3 linked regions of the Saccharomyces cerevisiae S288C genome follow. The protein of the gene in region 3 interacts with the protein of the main gene of each other region in a biochemical or structural test. Each region holds a gene or a part of one and is shown on either strand. Other genes may lie near its edges. The genes, in order: GGA2, TDA3 and ENT3.

What was found.
Region 1: the proteins of ENT3 (region 3) and GGA2 form a complex in vitro, tested with the Saccharomyces cerevisiae proteins (2 studies listed by BioGRID).
Region 2: the proteins of ENT3 (region 3) and TDA3 form a complex in vitro, tested with the Saccharomyces cerevisiae proteins (one study listed by BioGRID).

What each region holds. Positions count from the first base shown.
Region 1 is NC_001140.6:326,727-330,664, reverse strand, and holds GGA2 (phosphatidylinositol 4-phosphate-binding protein), read right to left. Parts: upstream 2,363-3,938; coding exon 605-2,362; downstream 1-604. Other genes in the region: CTM1 (cytochrome c lysine N-methyltransferase), read right to left, coding at 1-355; septin CDC12, read left to right, coding at 2,629-3,852. UniProt on the Saccharomyces cerevisiae protein: May play a role in the regulation of membrane traffic through the trans-Golgi network.
Region 2 is NC_001140.6:123,482-127,402, reverse strand, and holds TDA3 (Tda3p), read left to right. Parts: upstream 1-1,722; coding exon 1,723-3,294; downstream 3,295-3,921. Other genes in the region: 60S ribosomal protein eL27 RPL27A, read right to left, coding at 1-290, 852-882; superoxide dismutase SOD2, read left to right, coding at 3,813-3,921. UniProt on the Saccharomyces cerevisiae protein: Putative oxidoreductase that negatively regulates the retrieval of cargo from late endosomes to the Golgi. Regulates YIF1 and KEX2 localization. Required for fast DNA replication.
Region 3 is NC_001142.9:654,161-657,859, reverse strand, and holds ENT3 (Ent3p), read left to right. Parts: upstream 1-1,896; coding exon 1,897-3,123; downstream 3,124-3,699. Other genes in the region: VPS70 (putative zinc metalloprotease), read left to right, coding at 1-1,606; YJR124C (uncharacterized protein), read left to right, coding at 3,622-3,699. UniProt on the Saccharomyces cerevisiae protein: Involved in the recruitment of clathrin to the Golgi network and endosomes to form clathrin coated vesicles. Plays a role in the trafficking of clathrin between the Golgi network and endosomes.

The sequences.
Region 1 (3,938 bases), on a different chromosome or scaffold from region 3:
AATAAATTATGAGTAAATTTGTTTCTGTCAGGAACACACTGAAATTCGGATGAGCCATTATTTCACGAAGAGCAATCTTAATTTTGTCATTAGTTCTTTGAAATTCTTCCTTTGAAGAAAATTCGTCCTCATCTCCCAAGAGAGCCAGAAGTGTGTTTATATTAAACGTGCAGCGCTTAGGGATTCGGAGCAATTGGATAGTTTCACTTTTCAATTCATCATTCTTGAACTTCGAAGGTTCTACGAAAAGGCCATATCCACTTTTGGGGTCATCAATGGTGGATGGTTTTAATGAAAGGCTTTTATGAATGAAGATATTTCTAGAGTTCGAGTAAAAACGGAACACTTCCTCCATTTCAACTTTCCTTTTGGTTAACTTCGATTTTTCAGTGGTTATGAGGATGGCGAATTATACTATTTCTCTTTTTTTTCCTTTACACGATCTAGCATTGCTAACTACTTTTGATGCATGAAAACGCAACATATATTAGTAAGTGAAATATGTATTGTTGCGAAGATCTTTATAAGATTGTCTACATAGAGGTATTATCCTTCTAAAAATATACATAGAGAAGAGAAAGGATTGATAAGAAACGCCAGAGGATTATACATTAGGTAACGTAAAAACAGCAGTTTCTTCAGCTTGGGTGGAGTTGACAGAATAGTTGACCTTCCACTTGACTTTCAAAGCCTTTGAAGGGTTAGCTGGCGCATTTTCAATTGTACCTTCTTGAGAGATACCATCTTTAGCGTTGCCAATCATAAAGTTACTCGATTGGGGTTGCAATTTCAAAGACATTGACTTAGGGACTGCTAATAAGAACACTAAGTTGGAGATCGGTGACGAACTTAAGTTTGTAAAGAACGATTTTATCCTTATAACTGAGTTTGACTCCCTAGATATTTCGAACTCAATCTTCAAGTTAGGAGACTGATTGACTAGGGTTCTTGCGGGCGCAGTAGTAGTACCTGTTGTTGGATTAAATCCCATCAAAAGATCGAACCCACTACTGTTTACTGCTTGGGAATTAGTTGGCGATTGAGGAGTTGAAAGTCCCAAAAGATCTAAAGTGTTGTTCGAGTTGTTAGTAGTAGTAACTGGTGGTGCGGGTTGAGAGGACCCCAACACGATATCGCCTCCCAGACCAAAGGATGCTTGGTTAGCGGTTGAAGGGTTCGAAATAGATAAATCGGTCAAATCGCCCAATAAGTCATTGACAGATGTTTCCGCTGCTGCTGGTGTACCCGTGCCGTTGGTATTGTTGTTGCCTTGAGAGGGCGCTTCGTCCAAATCATTGAAATCGATTAAGTTGATTTCATTCGTTAAAGCACCAGAAGATTGTTGTAACGGAGCAGAAACATGACTTGGATGTATCTGCGAAGCAGCGTTGGAGTCACCGTTTTTCAATAAGTTGAATTTTTCCAATAGTTGATTAACTGTATCATTAAACTTCAATAGATCCTGCACTAACGCATCGTCTTCCTGTTCTTCCTCAATGATCTTTTGAAATTTTGGTTGAGCTACCTTTAATGCACTGTGAAGTTCTTGTGTAGTTTCGTTATCCCAGTTTTGTGAGTCAGGTGATTCCAGCATTTCATTCAGCAAATCGGCTTTACGCTTCAATTTGTTCAATTCACTGGAAATAGCCTGTTTAGCTTGAACGGCATTGTCTTCTTTGAACCCTGCCATGATTTTCATTAATTTGTTAGCTTCCCTCAAATCTTCAGGTTTACCACGCCTGATCAATTCTTCGAGTTTTGCAGCTTGAGCAATTTCCTGCTCCTTTTGAATTTCACTAGCGGTCTTCAATTGATTACTAGGCTTCAAAACTGCTAGGTCGGATTCACTGATTTTGGGGAATGCATAACCCTTATATTTCAACAAACGGTGCATGTCTCTAATATAACCCATATCATTCTTGTAGCTTGAGTGTTTACAAATTGTTTGATACCATTCTTCAATAGCAGTTAAAATCAATCTCTGAATCTTAGAATAACGTAATGGTGGGTGACCTGGAAATCTCTTGACCAGTTCATTCAAAAATTCCTTTCTAGAAATTTGCAAGTGGAATGGGTATCCACAATTCTTGACAAGCACGTCTAATAGAGATAACGCGAATATTGCCACGTGCGATTCTCTATTGTTGATCAGTTTAGCAAGTGCAATGGCAGCATCCCTAGGGGCAGCGCCCTGTTTTTCATTAATGTAGTCAGCAATGTCAAGATTCAACGCCAAGTCTGGTTCAGCAAGTGACATTCTGCAAGCTCTTTGAATCTTCCTCAAAAGAGGATTGCCCAAGGCTTGAGGTTTCCTGACGGGCAACTCAGACAAATATATGCTATGTGAGTGCGGATGGGACATGATGCAGTATCACGATTAGCAATTCAGCTATGAGTTATGTTGCTCTTTGTTTTGTTTATGGAAATTGTCCTATGGTAAGTCTCTTTTTTTTGCAATCGTGATTACAGAAAAAAAACAGGGCGCTGGAAAAGTGAAGAATCCGAAATTTTTTTCGAAATCACCATTGTTTGTTTTGAGTAGATCAAAGTCTTGAAAGGTGCAGCAAGATATAGGATCTTGACCTGAAGAGTATTGATAACGAACTACATCACATATTGTATCAAATAATGAGTGCTGCCACTGCGACTGCTGCCCCTGTTCCTCCTCCTGTAGGGATATCCAATCTTCCCAACCAGCGTTATAAAATTGTTAATGAAGAAGGTGGTACATTCACCGTGATGTTATGTGGTGAGAGCGGATTGGGTAAAACTACATTTATTAATACCTTATTTCAGACTGTCTTGAAAAGGGCAGATGGTCAGCAACACCGCCAAGAACCCATCAGAAAGACTGTAGAAATCGACATCACAAGAGCTTTGCTGGAAGAGAAGCATTTCGAATTACGCGTTAATGTCATCGACACCCCAGGTTTTGGAGATAACGTGAATAACAACAAAGCCTGGCAACCATTGGTGGATTTTATTGATGATCAACACGATTCTTATATGCGTCAAGAGCAGCAACCGTACCGTACTAAGAAATTTGACTTGAGAGTTCATGCCGTTCTGTACTTCATCAGGCCCACTGGACATGGTTTAAAGCCAATTGACATTGAGACTATGAAGAGATTGTCAACCAGAGCCAATCTGATTCCAGTTATTGCGAAAGCTGATACATTGACTGCCCAAGAATTACAACAGTTCAAGTCCAGAATCAGGCAAGTAATAGAAGCTCAAGAAATTCGTATTTTCACGCCTCCATTAGACGCTGATTCTAAGGAAGATGCCAAAAGTGGCAGTAATCCAGATTCTGCCGCTGTTGAACATGCAAGACAGTTGATAGAAGCAATGCCATTTGCCATAGTAGGGTCTGAAAAAAAATTTGACAATGGGCAAGGCACTCAGGTAGTTGCAAGGAAGTATCCTTGGGGACTTGTGGAAATCGAAAACGATTCTCATTGTGATTTCCGTAAGCTCAGAGCCCTGTTACTGAGGACTTATCTATTAGATTTGATTTCTACCACCCAAGAAATGCATTACGAAACATACAGAAGATTAAGACTTGAGGGTCACGAGAACACCGGGGAGGGGAATGAAGATTTCACTCTTCCAGCAATTGCACCAGCAAGGAAATTGTCACACAATCCTAGATACAAAGAAGAAGAAAATGCATTGAAGAAGTATTTCACTGACCAAGTCAAAGCTGAGGAGCAAAGATTTAGACAATGGGAGCAAAACATTGTTAACGAAAGAATCAGACTGAACGGTGACTTGGAAGAAATTCAAGGAAAGGTAAAAAAACTAGAAGAGCAGGTCAAAAGCTTGCAAGTAAAAAAATCCCATTTAAAATGATGATTAATTAATGTCTTCCTCTTTGTCTCGTCAATTTCAACGCCTATCTCTTTGTCTCTTCTTTTGTCGCAGCAATACGCACATAT
Region 2 (3,921 bases), on a different chromosome or scaffold from region 3:
ACGTTGGGAAGGTTGTTCGAAAGTTTCAGTAGAAACAACGGATTTGAAAGCTTCAACATCTAAAGTGTATCTGGTTGGCAATAAATGGTTGTAGTTGACGACCTTGATGAAAGGCTTGATCTTGGTTCTCTTAGCAACCTTCTTGGCACCGTGCTTCTTGGTGACCTTCAATGGGTATCTTTCAATACCGGCAACCAAAGCGTGACCAAATGGGTGAGACTTGGAACCTTCATCATGTGGTTTAACGATAACAACCTTCTTACCGGCGTAACGACCACGGACAACGACAGCTGTGTAAAAAAAGGAAGGAAAAGAAATAGTTAGTAAATGTGAACCCTTCTTAAAGTTTGGCGAATTCTCAATTTTGTTCTTCAATACTAGGGAGAGAAAAATTATCATAGGCCCACGAATTTTTAATAGGGCATGGAAAGAACTACAGTAAATAAAAGGCCCTGGTCGCCTGCGTACATGTGCCTATGGTCTTAGCAAATATATCGCGGAACTTTCACCATCTTATTTGGTGGCTATTGATGCTTTTTTCTTTTAAATTACAACTTTTTGATAACCCTTCCACTGCCTCGTATAGCTCAATGAATATGAATAATCGTTAGTTTCGCTCCTAAATCATTCATCTTTTTGTCCAATATTTCTATTAATAAGCTATCATTCAAATTTAAAGGTTTTTTCCCAGATCTAACATCTCCACGCTTTTTCCTCCCTACTCCCATATGAAGATACAATACTCGAATTCAAACTCAAATTATACAACATCAACTGCTAATAACTTGGATTTCTAATACCACAGTTGCACGGTTTTTTGTTGATGTCCAAAAACTGAAAATGATACGTACCAACTTTACCAGCTTTCAAGAACTTAGCCATTTTTTTCTTTGGTTATGCTTTTGTTTTAACACGTTGAGACTATCTAAGAAATTCTAAAAATCTAATATATCTTTAATTTTAGCTCAAAACTACGGCAGTATGTTTTACATGAACGAACACTTTACTAGTGAAAAGAATTTCAGGAAACCTGCCTTCGGGCGAATCTCTGCAGCAAGAGCGTAGGCGGAGCTCTGCTGGAAAGACTTTGTCTCAGACAGTTCTGTCGTGATGGGAGAACTGAGCGGATCACTCCCATTAGTTTGAGAGGAACTTCTCTCCGCAGCCTTGATTCTGCCTCGGGACTCCACCTGGAATATTGTTATCGGCTCTTTCAAGAAATACAGGACTCATAAGGTGAAAAAAAAAAAAACAGTGTAGGTGCAACAGCAAAAAATGTAAAGATGTAGGTGTACGGATGCATTAACGTCTTTCGAGGCCCTTTCCATTCTTCCGTGAAAAATATTCACTGAACGTATAATATGAGACGGTTCCGTCCGAGTCCCCTTAGCTGGAATCGTGTAAGCCAATTTATCAATACATGCAGCCTTGGTGCTTTTGTGCGTCTATCCCCTACATGCATAAGATTACGTATGAATGAAAAAAGCACGACATAGAAGTGAAACCATATCTGTAACCTGGCACACGTACTACAAAAGTTATATTGTTCCTTTTTTTTTTTTTTTTTTTTCTATTGTTAAATCAAGACTTAAAAAAAATCAGCCAACAAGTAATTCTGTTTGATAGTTCAAGTCACTCAGCAAAAGATTTTCGTGCTCTCCAATACACCATCTAAGTATCAATAGCATTTTAACCAAGCAACAGAAGGAATAGTGTTTATAAATGGGTGAAGATTTTATGCACCCACCGTTTCAAACGTACCCTTCAAAGAACAGCGAAGGGAAAAAACATATTGTCATTGTAGGTGGCGGTATCATCGGTTGCTGTACTGCTTACTACTTGACCCAGCATCCAAGTTTCAGCCCTTCGACGCATCATATTACCATCATTGAATCGAGGCGCATTGCTGGAGGGGCTTCTGGTAAAGCAGGTGGCTTGCTTGCATCTTGGGCTTTCCCTCACCAAATCGTACCTTTAAGTTTCCAGCTACATCAGGAGTTGAGTGATGAATATGATGGAGAAAACAACTGGGACTACAGAAGATTGACGACTGTGTCCTTAGAAGCAGATGTTCGCGAAGAAGTCATTGAAAACTACGAAAGACTGAGCAAGAAGGCATATAATCTGAATGTCCCTCCTCCAAAGAAGAGACCGGGCTACATATCCAACAAGTTTAACATCGGGGACTCTAATTCATCTTTGAGTTCTTCGGGCTCTTCTTTGAAAAACGACTCCGCTAGTAACGAGGAAGAAGGATCAGACATTCATGTTTCTAGCTCAGTACCCAGTTTACACTCTCTAACAAATGAGCGCATGAGAAGCCACACAAATAGCGCATCTGATCTTGACTCTGTAAGTCCCGTGGAGCAACTGAGAGAGACTAATATCCATAATCCTTTGCCTGCTGATTTAGATTGGATAAGAAGAGAATTGGTTAATGATTGGTCATCACTAGGTGGTACTGATACCACAGCGCAGCTTCATCCCTATAAATTCACCCATTTCATCTTATCGAAGGCAATGGAAACAGGTGCTGTCGATCTTCTCCTAGGTAAGGTAGTTGGGCTAAAGTGTGACGAGATGGATTGTGTTCATTCTCTTAAGTACCTTCCATCTGTCGTCAAGAATCGCAGAAATAGCAGAGGGCATGCAGAAAATCCAGACATTAAGCTGGGTACAATCTTCAACGATGAGAACGCGAAGCCCATTGAAATCAATGACATCCAGCAGATTGTTTTGAGTATGGGACCCTGGACTTCCAAGATTCTAAAAGATTGTCCAATTTCTGGATTGAGAGCCCACTCTGTCACCATTAAGCCTAGTGAAAAGACAGTTTCACCTTACGCTATTCTTGCTGAACTAAAAGTTAACGACCGTGAATTTTTCTCCCCTGAAATGTATGCTAGAAAAGATGAAGTTTATGTGTGCGGCGAAGGCGACACTTTAGTCAATATACCTGAAAGTTCGGACGATGTGGAGGTAGTTTCGGAGAAGTGTGATGAATTGTACCATTACGTATCCAAATTATCGCCAACTCTATCAAAGGGCCATCTCTTGCGGAAACAAGCCTGTTTTTTGCCAGTTTTAAACGTTCCTACAAGTTCTGGTCCCTTAATTGGTGAGACAAATGTCAAGGATCTTTATATTGCAAGTGGACATTCTTGTTGGGGTATTAACAATGCGCCAGCAACAGGTAAATTAATGGCTGAGATTCTCCTTGATGGCGAAGCAACCTCTGCGGAAATCTCAAGTTTGGATCCAAAGTTATATTTCGACGCCACCATCCTTTCTTAATCAAGCCGAGGAGTAAAAAGGTCAAGAAAAGTATATGCACAAATTTGTACATATAAGAGCTTATTTATTTATATATTTAAAATTTCTGAGGCCATTTAATGTGTATATATTTAACGAATACCTAAATCTATATATTTCTTTTTTTTTTTTCTCTCTCTCTCTCTCTTTCTCTTTCTCTCTTGGCGTCTATCCTGTTTGCCCTTGCGCATGCTACCGATTGCACGTGTAGTATTCTACTTGAGGTTGAGCTGATTACTAATTGCTATTATCATTGTTGGCGCGACCTTAAACCTGGACCAATAACACAGGCCGAACCACTAGCTTCGCAAAAAAAAAAGTAGGGATGTGCCGAAAAATTTCCGCGACCGTAGCAGACACCCCTGATGAAGAAGCTATAACTTGTATATAAGAGCGTTGCATCCCCAAAATATACAAGCTAGCTACAGCGATTGCTTTTCACTTGCTGCTACAGGAACGAAACCCCAATTGATAACTATACCTCCTAAAAACGTACCAGGATGTTCGCGAAAACAGCAGCTGCTAATTTAACCAAGAAGGGTGGTTTGTCATTGCTCTCCACCACAGCAAGGAGAACCAAAGTCACCTTGCCAGACTTGAAGTGGGACT
Region 3 (3,699 bases):
ATTACCTGGATTAAAGGTAAAGAATGCAGAACTTTATGGCGCTTCCAGTGTCATTATATATACAGACCCATTTGACGATGGTAAAGTTACTGAGGAAAATGGGTTTTTACACTATCCTTATGGACCAGCAAGAAACCCAAGTTATATTAGGAGAGATTCTGTAAACTATTTCAGTGACACTCCAGGAGATCCGACAACTCCAGGGTATCCCTCCAAGGATTCCGACACTGAACATATGTCACCGGTAGGGAGAGTGCCGAGGATACCATCGGTGCCGATGAGTGCTAGAGATGTCCAACCAATTTTAGAAAGATTGAATGGCAGGGGTTTTCAAATTGGGCCCGGTAGTAATATAAAAGATTTTGGATCATTCACTGGACCTTCAAGCTCTATCGATAAAGTCCATTTGCATAATGAGCTAACTTACAACATCAAGGAAATGAGTAGTGTAGAGGTTAGTATCCCTGGTATATTCACTGAGGGGGAGATTATTATCGGAGCTCATAGGGATTCGCTCGCCTCGAGTAGCGCCGGTGATGCAAATAGTGGCAGCGCTATTCTTTTAGAAATTGCACGAGGAATGAGTAAATTACTTAAGCATGGTTGGAAGCCACTGCGTCCTATCAAACTAATAAGTTGGGATGGTGAACGATCCGGCCTTCTGGGATCTACAGATTATGCAGAAGCTCATGCTGCGATTCTCAGGAGAAGGGCCTTGGTATACCTAAATCTAGATAATGCAATCTCTGGGACAAATTTTCACTGTAAAGCCAACCCACTTTTACAAGACGTGATATACGAAGCTGCTAAGCTCACGGAATTTAATGGGCACGAAGACTGGTCATTGTTCGACCATTGGAAATACACTTCTAATGCCACTATTTCTCTACTTGATGGGTTGTCTAGTTACACTTCATTTCAGTACCATCTTGGAGTGCCCGCTGCACATTTTCAGTTTAATGCCAATGATACTTCAGGCGCAGTCTATCATAGTAACTCCGTATTCGATAGCCCAACTTGGTTGGAAAAATTTACCAATTCTGACTACAAGTTACACAACACCATGGCCATGTTTGTAGGTTTGACAACGCTGATGCTGAGTGAAAACGAACTGGCAAGATTCAATACACATGTTTACCTGAAGAAAATATATAACTGGTATATCGCATGGCACTCTAATCTATCTTCAGCATTTCCCCAGGACGATGAAGTGAACAGCTTAGCAAAAAGGGTTCTGGACTTATTAAAAGTTGCCACACAGGAAGATAGCATCCAATTTGACCAACAAAATGGTATTCTCTATAAAGAGTGTAGGGAAGCTTTACCTGTTTGGGCTTTTTACAAAAAAATCAAGAGCTATATTAAACTGCAACGATCCAATAGCAAATCAAAGCAAATTGATCAATTATTTATTACACACAGAGGACTGAAAGACAGGGAATGGATGAAGTACTCTCTTTTAGCACCTAGTAAGTTTGAGGGATCTGTCGGGGAAGTTTTGCCCGGCCTTCACGAAGGATTGGCTGATATTGATAGAAACGAGGTCATTCAGTGGTTAACCATTTTGCTAAGCCAATTCAGCAACGTTCGCTATTTACTTCAATAAGCATTTAAGTACCTCACCTCAGTATATACATTTATTTTATTTGCATACGTAGAGTGACTTTGAATAATAACCATGAGAGGCTTTTTTGTATATACTCTATAAACATGGCTTCAATTTCTTATACATGTCACACCGTACGTTGTGCGAGGTGATTAGGAAAAGTAAAAGGGGACTAGAAGAATCATGAAATGATTTGTAGATACAGTTATTTGAGGAAAGCAAAAATTACCAATTCAGGAAGGTGTAGGGACGTCGATAGGAGATCACATCGTTAATTAGTGTTAGGAAGAATGAGTTTAGAGGATACATTAGCCAACATGTCATTATATGACGCCAAGAAATATTTTCGTAAAGCTCAAAATGTTGTTTTCAATTATACTGAGATGGAGGGGAAAGTTCGTGAAGCGACAAACAACGAGCCTTGGGGTGCCTCATCCACTTTAATGGACCAGATTTCTCAAGGAACTTACAATTTCAGGGAAAGAGAAGAAATTTTGTCCATGATATTCAGAAGGTTCACTGAAAAGGCAGGTAGTGAGTGGAGGCAAATTTATAAAGCCTTGCAATTGCTCGATTACCTTATCAAACACGGTTCTGAAAGGTTTATCGATGATACAAGGAATAGCATTAACTTAATTAGGATTTTAGAAACTTTTCACTATATTGATTCCCAGGGAAGAGATCAAGGAATTAATGTCAGAACTAGGGTCAAAGCTTTGATTGAATTATTGAGCGACGATAATAAGATACGCGCAGAAAGAAAAAAGGCAAGAGAAACGGCAAAGAAGTACAAGGGCGTTGCTGGAGGATCTGCCTCTGCTGATGGCAGTTTGAATTCGAAGGCAGGTTTCACGTCAACGAAAGTGCACGGCATTAGCGTGAGTGCTGATTTCGATAGTGACAATGAAGATAACGAAGATGGTTCTTTTAGTCAAAATGGATATAACGATAATGCCTCGAGAGCCACATCTACTCCTGGGCAAGGAAAACAAGAACCAGAGGACTTTGTTGACTTTTTTTCTAGTGAGTCTTCAAAACCATCTAAAGAACTCATACAAGAAGATGAAAAGAAGGCGGACGAAGAAGAGGACGATGATGACGAGTTTTCAGAATTTCAAAGCGCCGTCCCTGTTACCAACCCTGCTAATTCGTTTAACTTGCTAAACACGAGCCCAATTGAGGGTATGCCCGCCACCACGAGTTCAATGCCTTTTTATAACAGCTCCACTACCGACCAAGGCAAGATTACCCCAGCTATTGCGGAACCTAAAAAAGTAGATCCTTTTAGCTCTCTCTTTTCAACTGCAAAGGCATCTGCAGAAGCACCTAGTGCTCCTAAAGCATCCCAAGCGAAAGCCGCTGCCTCTAATCCTGTATCTAATAGCACAACTGCACTAAGTACAGATCAAGATGATGATGACGAATTTGGTGAAATGCATGGTGGAGCTGTTCAACAAGAACAGAATACCAATAATAACCATACATCATCCAAAGAAATCGATTTACTTTCCTTTTGAGTGATATTATTGGTTTACACAATATGTAAATGTTTTATAACAATAGAAAGTACTTTGTAACAGGTATTACGAACATTACTATCTAATCTCCACTGTATTTCTCCTTTATATGTTTGTCTTGATTTCGTGAAATAGTTTGTGAACATTTTTTTGATCTTTTTTTCGTAAAGAAGGGCCCTTTTCAAATTTATTTACATTTTGGTCATTTGAAAATACTTTACTTAAAAAGACGAGGAAGAAACTGTAAATCCATAGTTCGAGAGTTGAAGTGCCCTTCAAAACAAAAACTCCTGACTTTTTTTGCTCATTTTTAGTCAATGAACTAAAACTCACCTTCCTTCTCGTTTATTTTTGCCTAGCATTATAGAGCAATTATAACTATATATTAAAGTTGACGCACCGAAAAAAAAGGCACGAAAGAAAACTCTACTAATTTTTCACATCTCGAAAAAGCTCATTGCAGAAGGATTTACCAATATTTCTAAAGTTAACGTAACCATGGCACCGGAAATTTTTGTTAAATTCAAGTGTGCAAGTAGAGACATAAAGCTACTATGGGCGTCCGTCTTTCTTAGA